2 linked regions of the Nothobranchius furzeri genome follow. The protein of the gene in region 1 binds, or shares a complex with, the protein of each later gene. Links are inferred from orthologs where the notes say so. Each region holds a gene or a part of one and is shown on either strand. Other genes may lie near its edges. The genes, in order: lin9 and lin37.

What was found.
Region 2: the proteins of lin9 (region 1) and lin37 are in contact, whole or in part, in a crystal structure (PDB 7N40), measured with the Homo sapiens proteins. The link is inferred for Nothobranchius furzeri from reciprocal best matches to the Homo sapiens genes LIN9 and LIN37. Residues at the interface, in NP_001353174.1 of Homo sapiens: Lys99, Ala101, Ser102, Gln103, Lys104, Ile105, Gly106, Arg108, Leu109, Arg110, Leu112, Leu113, Lys114, His119, Trp121, Cys122, Ile123, Glu125, Trp126, Phe127, Thr227, Leu237, Phe238, Leu272, Ser273, Asn274; in NP_061977.1 of Homo sapiens: Tyr95, Ile97, Leu99, Phe100, Asp101, Arg102, Val104, Leu106, Ala107, Phe109, Ser110, Glu111, Asn112, Thr113, Pro114, Leu115, Tyr116, Ile118, Cys119, Arg120, Trp122, Met123, Asn125.

The regions. Positions count from the first base shown.
Region 1 is NC_091742.1:4,990,914-4,995,491, forward strand, and holds the start of lin9 (protein lin-9 homolog), read left to right. Parts: upstream 1-1,747; 5' UTR 1,748-1,813; coding exon 1,814-1,844; exon of another isoform or gene 1,845-1,848; intron 1,849-2,176; exon of another isoform or gene 2,177-2,241; intron 2,242-2,637; coding exon 2,638-2,670; intron 2,671-3,031; coding exon 3,032-3,123; intron 3,124-3,358; coding exon 3,359-3,472; intron 3,473-4,578. Other genes in the region: parp1 (poly [ADP-ribose] polymerase 1), read left to right, coding at 190-304, 513-594. UniProt on the Homo sapiens protein: Acts as a tumor suppressor. Inhibits DNA synthesis. Its ability to inhibit oncogenic transformation is mediated through its association with RB1. Plays a role in the expression of genes required for the G1/S transition.
Region 2 is NC_091745.1:37,814,269-37,818,763, forward strand, and holds the start of lin37 (protein lin-37 homolog), read left to right. Parts: upstream 1-1,520; 5' UTR 1,521-2,173; coding exon 2,174-2,207; intron 2,208-2,342; coding exon of another isoform or gene 2,343-2,346; coding exon 2,347-2,422; intron 2,423-2,492; coding exon 2,493-2,543; intron 2,544-2,661; coding exon 2,662-2,691; intron 2,692-3,141; coding exon 3,142-3,227; intron 3,228-3,306; coding exon 3,307-3,467; intron 3,468-3,983; coding exon 3,984-4,115; intron 4,116-4,235; coding exon 4,236-4,306; intron 4,307-4,495. Other genes in the region: proser3 (proline and serine-rich protein 3), read right to left, coding at 221-264, 400-530, 611-831, 954-1,050, 1,121-1,131.

The sequences.
Region 1 (4,578 bases):
GTGATGAATCACTCCTGTAGACACTAATGGAGGCTGAGGAGACATTTCAGCTGTTAAATTAAGATGTTAAAAAGACCAATGCACAGGGAGGGCATACGTTTTGCTTTCGGTTCTACTAAACTGACACTAGAGGGTGCTAAAAGCAAGTCAAAACTGACTAGTCTCCCTTTAACCTTTTTTTCTATCCAGGTTTGGGTCGAACTGCTCCTGATCCAAATGCTACTGTCAATTTGAATGGCGTGCATGTGCCTCTGGGAAAAGGCGTCCACACTAACATCGATGACACAAGTCTACTGTACAACGAGTATCCTTTGAGATTCATCCAGTTATTTCTTATTGGGAACGTTTTACAGCAATCTGATCTGAAAGTATTTATAAATCACTCATAGATTGATAACAAACATTGTTGTTGTCTTTATTGTAGCTTTATTTCACTCGTCACACATGCACTTTATTTTTATTCCTTTGCGTTCAATCCTGTTTTCTGTTTTCCTTAACCACTGCTCCTCCAGGTACATTGTTTATGATGTGGCACAGGTAAACATGAAGTATCTCTTGAAGATCAAGTTTAATTACCAGACATCCCTGTGGTAGAAAAAAGGCAACGTTTGAAGAAAAACACCACTTCTGCATCCAAATGCCTGGAATATTATACCACTTTACAGCTATTTCATGGTTCTGTAGCAGGCAGCCTTCATTAGGATCACGTTAACTTTGTAAAACTGAAATCACAACAGGACGGTTGTAGAAAATACAGGAAGCCTCAGACGATGATGGTTAACGATTTCATTCTTTTAATTTGATCAGTTCATGAAAATCTGTTGATAAGCTTACGTCTAAAGTGTTACAGAGTGTCTGCAAGGGGTTTTGAGTTGAGACCAGAATTATTTCAATGGCTGTTTTCTGAAGTAGCCTTGATGATACTGTATAAGGTCTGACATGTACATATTTGTTTAGTTGTTTCTGTCTCAAGCCGTCTTCCACAACTTTTTGTATGAAAATTGTGTTAATTTTTGTTCCATAAATCACAATAAAGCACGGGACATGTAAAGACTTTTGTCTTTATGTTTTTGTTTTACTCTGAATGGAAATCAGCCTATAATGCATTTATTTACCATTTGTAAACATGTTGAAAGTAAATGATCTTATGGGAGGTCAAAGGTCATGTCCTTAATGCTTCGTGTTCTTAAAAGTGTTTCAACTGCTTTAACATTTTTGGTTTTTAGCTAAATAAAGTTGGTTACAGCCGCGTTTTAAGCATACATGTTCAGTTGAATTAATATTTATGGTGGAAAACCTTTGATTTCACCTTGAAAGTGCTTGAATTTGATTTGGTTTAAGATGTAAAAACCGTGAAATAAAAAAATGCATATAATATACTAACGAGATAAAAATGAGTTTAGCAACAACGTGATCACGAGACTACCTGATAGACTTAAAGCATTTAATATTTAAAGTACAGCTCATAGGCTAATTTAGTTATTGTAGAGGTAACGTAAAACATTAAATAACGTGTTAACTTTGTGTCTGAATTCTTAAATCCGACAAAGGACATTTCCAGTACGTCTAAGTGGAGTCAAGGTTTGTTATCCACACCCATCTTTTTTCTTGCATTCCTGTACCAAGTTTCAACAAAAATATTGTACTTATATAAAATATACTTTACAGTTTATGAGTCAGAGTGACACAAAGTGACTTAGCGCCGGTGGTTGTATCAGTTTGTTTATTTTTTGTCTCAAATCGCCCTCCAGACGGATTCTAACCCAGAATGCATTTTGACAAAGTCTTTGAAAAGCGGCGCGGCTAATTCAAGATGGCGGAGATGGACCAGCTGTTAGACGAGAGTGGGTAACAACACACCATACTGTCAGTTTTACAGTGTGAACAAGCAGCGAATCTATTATAAAAAAGATAAACAGCAGGCGGAAACCCGATAGCACCGTTCATACGGCAAATATTGTAGGTTTTGGGTTGACTTTATAAGCCGCGTTTGGATGTAGAAACCGGTCTACTGCTTGCTAGCACCACGAGCTAACTATAGCTAATACAGCAGTTGAAGAAGTTACTTTAGCTCAACTGGGTAAACGAATCCCGTTAGCTTAGCTGTGAGCTAACCGCTGCTAACCTTATAAATAGAGCTACAATAACAATAGGACTACCGCAGCTAATGACTCTGTGTTTGAGTAATCAGGCTTAGTTTTCCTCATCTTTCTCCCTGGAAATGTATTTTCTTACCATAAGGTTTGTTAGCGCTTGTTACATGGTTACGCGATTGTTGTTATCATTTATTGGTTTGGCTTTTTACACTGAAATAACGGATCTAAATAAATTTAATGTAATTAGATATGACCTTCAGTTCGTGGTAACATCAGCTCGCTTCACCATGTCTGGTGTTGCCTGTCAAGCTGATGTTTCGACCCGTGTTTGACAGCTGAAACTTGGGAGGAAAGGCCTCTAACTCAACCTATCTGACCGATCCGAACGTCATTTTGGTTCTTTGATAGCATAAGTAATATTAGCATTTTACTCAAACATGGAGATATCTGATTTCCTACATTTGTTGATGAAATGACATTTGTTTTAGCTGTTAATAATGCTAATTGATACTGATGTTGCACAATTTCCCATCTTCCTTAGGCTCCTCTGCAGAGGCCCTGGTCAGTTTAAAAGGTACTTAGTCTGTTTATTTTTAATTTGCTCTTTGTACTGTTAAAATGATCTGGATTTAGATTTTTCGTAAACTATGTTTTTATCATTAAAAACATGAACGTTGATTAGGTCAGAGCCATATATGTATTAAACTCCTGGATAAAAGTGGTTAGTATTCCTAAGCCCCTCACACACATGAAGCTGTGTATTACCCTCATAATACCAAGCTTATGACCTGCACTGCCTGCATGTTTTTACAAAATAAAGTCAGCAGTTCGTGCTTTCTTTCTAGTAATAAAAACAGCACAAACTTGGTCAGAAAGCATATTAAATTTATGTGGATTGTGTTCACAATTTATTGTACAAATCCATCTTTTTACAGAGGGCAGCTTGTCTAACACTCTGAATGAGAAGAACAGTTTCACTAGAGCTCACAACACCAGAGGACGCCATTCATCTGTCACAATGGACGTGGTAAAACGATGATCACTTTTATCATGACTAATTAAGATGAACTAGAAACGCATTTATTATTGTTTGGAAAGCTACAATTACATAAGATTTGTATATTTGTCATAAAAAGTTTGAATAAATATTAATAATGGACTTTCTTGAAGACACTTTGGAGGCATAATTGAGATTTGTCGAGAAACAGTTCTATAAAAAAAATATCGATTCTTCTGAGAAAACTTAATTTTTGTGTCTTCAGCCTACAAGGAGCTCTAAGAGAAGCCGTTTGTTTCGGGAGGAAGATGAATCGCCGCAGCAGCGTCCCTCTTCCAGGTCCCCTCGGAGGAGCCAAAGGGTCTCCACTACACCACAGGTACAAACGCCAAAGTTTTCACGGGGTCTCAAAATCATTAAAAGTGCTTGATAGTACAAATTATTACTCAAGAGTATCTTTTTTTTTTGTAAAACCAGGAAGTGAAAGAGTTGTTCTGTGCATGTGTGTGCTGTTCATGCACGTAAGATGCAGGAAAATCTTAAGCTTTTGAAACTGCTGTAACGTTTATTTGGCGAAGGTGTAAGGACCATAGAACTCCACTCAATAAGGTTGTTATACATAGGATGGTCTTTCTGCTTTTCTTTTCTAAAGTGTGTGTAAAATGCTGACTTGTGACATTTAATCATGACTTAATGGTTGCTTTTGGGGACGTTTATGATCATAAAATTTGTTTGTAGTTGCACCAAAACAGTTTGGGGTGTTGGTGCATTCAAGGAAGAGGAGATGAACTTGGTTGACCTGTTCTGCAGTATTATATTGACATACTGCCCTCTAAAGCAACATTTTAGTGGATTTTATTGGGAACATTGGTTCATTCATTCCAAATAGTTTGTTTAAAGGCATATTTTACAACTTCTTCATATTTTTAAATCATTTTCTTGAGCCGATATGTGCTAAAATGACCTTTTACAGGGTTAATAAAATGTCACTCAGACCCCACCGCCTCTATGGCCAGAAAATCACACTTGCAACTTCAGTTTCCGGTCCCTTTTGGACCTTGTAAAGTTGAGCTGACATGCCAGTGCTGCAGTCTGCTTCCAGCATGTTGAACACAGCTGATTTGTTTGATTTAGTGATGAACCGCTTCTGTTTAAACTAATGAAGGCTGAGGACACGTTTCACGCATTAGATTAAGCTGTAAAAAGATGAACGCACAGTAGTAATGTGACGTTCATGAACAAATCGAATCTTTTGAACACGTTTTCAAAGTGAACAGTGAGAGCCGAGTTCCTGTAGAGTAGAGGTGTGAATCTTCACTTGTCTCTCGATTCAATTCGATTCGATATCCCGATGCGTCACGATTATTTCATATTGATTTGTTTTCATCGATGAATTGAAGATGTCAGATAATTGCTTTTTATTTTTTATCAAAAGCGTAATTGACACAACCTGCCGTCCCCCAAAAGCTCTCCATTCACAACAGT
Region 2 (4,495 bases), on another chromosome or scaffold:
GACAGAGGTCCACAAGGTTCTTCCATGGACACAAACTGTCTCCGGCATTCAGATGAAGTTAGCATAAACTAGGACACGCTGTAAACTTATAGCCTACACAATTTTTCTTTTATGATTATTCAAAAACTAAACACATTTATTTATAAAACATTTCACAAACAAGTCACCAACACAGAGTGGAAAGAACACAACAGGTCAAGGAGGATCCCAGTGAACTCACGCTGATGGATCTGTCACCATGATGCGGTCCAGCTGGGCTGCCGTCTTTCAGAGGGAGGACACGTTCGGGCATGGGAAAGGATCCAGCGGAAAGTTTGTCACAGAAATTTTACACAACCCACGAGCTTGTAATATTTACTGTGTCGTGTGACTAAACACAGCAGAAGTTAAAAATAATACCACTGTTTGATGCTTTAGTAGGAGTTGAACTGTGGACTGATGAGTTAAACATCCACCCAAACGGCATCTGCTCTTCTCCAGCCACCTGCTGCCGTTTCTGAGGCTGACTGTGGCCAAAGCGCTCGATGTGTCTGTAACAAAAACACGTCATGGCTTTGTGAGGCCCACAAATTCAATCATCTCTACGGTGAAAAAACACCAGCAGATTTACTTTGCCATCACGGAATCATCCTGAACTCCTGAGGAAACTGTTGATGTCTCTGGTCTGGCAGGCAGATCGCACGCCAGCATTTCAGGAGAGGACCTGTAGTCAGTGGTGGGCCAGATTTCTGTAAAAACATCTCCACCATCGTGACTCTCCTGTAGCTGTTGGCTTCCTCCATTCTGGGAGTGACACTGTTTCCTAGAGCTCTGGCTGGGATGCACAGGACTCTGCAAAGAGCATAATAATAATAATAATAATAATACTAAAATAAAATAAATCACGTCCCAAATGCTGGACTAAAAAACACAAACATGAGTAAAGGTAAGAAATGTTGGCAAAGCTGACATACATCTGTCTTTGGCAGGGATTGCTTGCGGGATGGATGATGAGCTCTTCTCACAGAGGATGCAGGTGTGAAGGGATTCTTCCTTGCAAACACAGATCCACTATAAAAACAACCATTAGAGATAAAACTATTGTTTATGGTGGTATAAAAAGGAGCTTGTTGGATCTTACCTGGATTTCATAACTATTGAAGAACGGAAAATGTTCTCTTCCTTGTTTTAACCCTAGTGTTCTCACTAGGCGTCGTGAGTTACCATGGACTCCAACGCTACAAATCACCTTTAAGTTAGGAAATTAAAACAGCTACACGCAGCCGCATCTACTACAGACTCAGATTTCCTAAGTTTATAAAACTATAAAAAGGGTGACAAAACACAAAAGCGTCACGCTTTTTTGGTGTTTGCCACACCACTCAGCCAATAAAATCCTCGCTAAAATGGCGCACATGTCATTTGTCCAATCACAGTGGTTTGAACAAGCACCAATCAGCTATTCGGGTGTTACATCAAGATGTGTTCCCCGCCGGAAGTGTTTTCTTTCCCTGCGTCACTCATTTTTATATTTAATCTCTGGTCTTTAAAGCAACGTTATTTTAAGAAAATAGCCAGATAATATCTTAGTAATCTATTATGTTATTTTTGTGCATTCCAGCACGGCAAACAAATCATCAGGGCAGGAGGGGAAAAACTCTGTGTTTAGGTGAGACATAAGCTCGCGGTTACGCCACTCATAAAACTGACTCACTAATTCATAAAATAGACATCCCTTGTGTTTTTATTATGTATCTCGGAAAAAAGTACACATTTTACCGGGAGATGGCTAAAACACTACCAAGTGGGAACGGTTTTCAACCAGGGAACACATTTCGGGGTAACACCTGTTACGCGGAAGTTTGTAGAAGCAAGCTGAAGTTACATTAGCAACTATAGCTGAGCTAATACCTTCCACAGTTCGAATAATAAAACCAGTTGTCTGTACTATTTGAAGCAAATTATTGAAAGTTGTTTTGTCTAAATCATTAGGATAAAATAATATTTTTGCCATAGAATTTCTTCACTTTTTCTTTTACGAATAATCAGTTGGTTAAGCGCTGCTATGTAAGTCAGCTAATGGTGCTGTTGGCAAACAGCCGTTGCAGCCAGGATACCAGGACCCTTTGTTAGAGATCAAACAAGAATTAATTTCAACATTAAAAAAGGTTACAAAAGTGCTGAAAAGAAGACAATGCACCACATCAAGATAAAGACTGAACGGCTAGGTGAGATATACCCACAATATAACATTGGTTATAATTTCGTTCGCTATTTGTGCTTGCTTTAAAGATACAATATACATAACATTAGAGCCCAAAAACGAGAGACCTAGCTCTAAATCGATCTGCTTTTTATGTTACCTAGATGCAGAGAACACCGCTGCACGCAGCAAGTTGGATGCTGTGTTAAAGGGTCTTGTAGAGAAGAGCGAAAATGAGAGGTTAGTAAAACACACTTGACCATAGCTATGCTTTCAAATGATTAAATGCTTTTAATTGTACTCTCATCAGAGAACCAAATGAGGGTGATCCAGGAAAATTATCAGTGGACTCCTTGCACAAGTATGGATTAGTTTTTTTGTGATTTTATCTTTTTATTATGAAGAAGGATTCACACTTTATTTTTAAACAGCTGTAACAGTGTTTCAGTGCAATCATGGAATGCTCTTGTTATCTCTAGGGATTTGTCTCCATCTTCTGCTGGAAAGAGGTAATAATCAGTACTATGTTCTGTAAATGCGCAATAAATGTGCAATACCCAGAGATGCACATTTATATGTGTCTTTTATGCTTTTTCTCCTTGAAAACAGTTATGAATTTTCTATTTTATTCTGTTTTTATGCATTTATTTTGTTGCTGAAGGTTATGGTAATAGCCCAATACTCTTGTGTGTTTACCTGTATTATATTTTCCTATGTCTGTGTGTATGTGCTGCCCTAACAAGTAAATTTCCTCACTGTGGGATCAGTAAAGTCTATTCAAATACCTCATACAATTCTAAATACCTCATACACATACTTGATTTTCTTGTTTTTTTTATTGCAGCATAATTTTTTATCTGCACACATCGTTATATGAATTCAGTTATTTAGTACAGAAAATATTTCAGTTTTTTAAGCCTTTTTGCAAGTCCTCATGTTTGTTTTCATTTTATTTTCAGACCTTCAGCAAGATTTCCACAGCATCGAAGGAAGAAACGGAAGGAGATGGATGAGGGCATACCAGAAACCAATCCGCATAAACAAAGTAAACTCAACTCACATTCCATTAAATGACACGGTAGTATTATTTACCCTGATGTGTGTTTCCTTTGCCTTTGTTCTAGATGCTTATGTTATTAAGTTGTTTGATCGCAGTGTTGATTTGGCTCAGTTTAACACCAGCACCCCTTTATATCCAATTTGCCGTGCCTGGATGAGAAACAACCCTTCTGTTCGAGAGCCAACAGCTTCCCCAAACTCCCCACACAGCATGTTGGAGGAAGAAGTAAGGCTGCACATTCCTGTCATCATTATTTAATTGATTTAATTTTGTTTAAAGGAAATGAAAGCAAAACAACCATAAGAGAAAAAGTGTGTATAGTTTACAAAATATTTCTTCTAATTTAATTGTTTAAAATAAGTTTCATTGTACACAATTTGTGTGAAAATAATATTTGTCTCCTACCCCTCTTCACAATTAAATTATTATTATTATTGTAATTGTTGTTTACCAAGTTATGAACTTTATTTAATTGTAAATTTAACTTGTGATTGTCAGTCTGCATGTTTGTGTAATTTCCTTGAAAAGTTAATGGTTTTTAAGTGCATCGAGTTTGAAAAGCAGTGTAATATATTAATGAAACTTACAAACTGTGTGTTTTTTCATTGCCTAAAACAAATTTATGAATTTTGAAATGAGTCGAGATTTTACCAGTAAGTCCCCTAAAGATGGCAGTATTGCACCATCTCTTTAGCCATCATACCTGAGCTCTCTGTTATTTGTGTTCTATCCTTGCCCCAGGTAACAGACATGATAAACGGCAAAGGTCAGAATGTGTACCGACTCCCCCCTCCTGCTCCCAGCCCAGTTAGCCCTTCAGGTGAACCCATCAATCTCAGGATTCAACAAATTGAAAAACCCATCGTTACAAAGGTGCTTGAACGTTACATTTTTTTTCTCTTCGTTTTGTGTGTGTGTGTGTGAGAGAGAGAAATAGAATTGTACAAATCTTCAGATGTATAAAAATGGTGAATAAGGTTACTCTTTTCACAGTCAAGTGATGCTCCTGTGTCAGAATCCCTAATAAGTGACCACTTGGAACGCTGGAAAATGATAAGGCAGAAGTAAGTTCTTAGGAAAAATTTTATTTAATAAAAACTTTTGTTGCTCAGAATTCACCGTATCACTCAGGAGATAACATGCAAAAATAAAGCAGTAGCTGAATACTGATGTGTGGTAGTAGATAGATGTGTAACTATATATAACTACACATTTATATTTTTGACAGCTCTACGCATTAGTTAAGCTGCTGT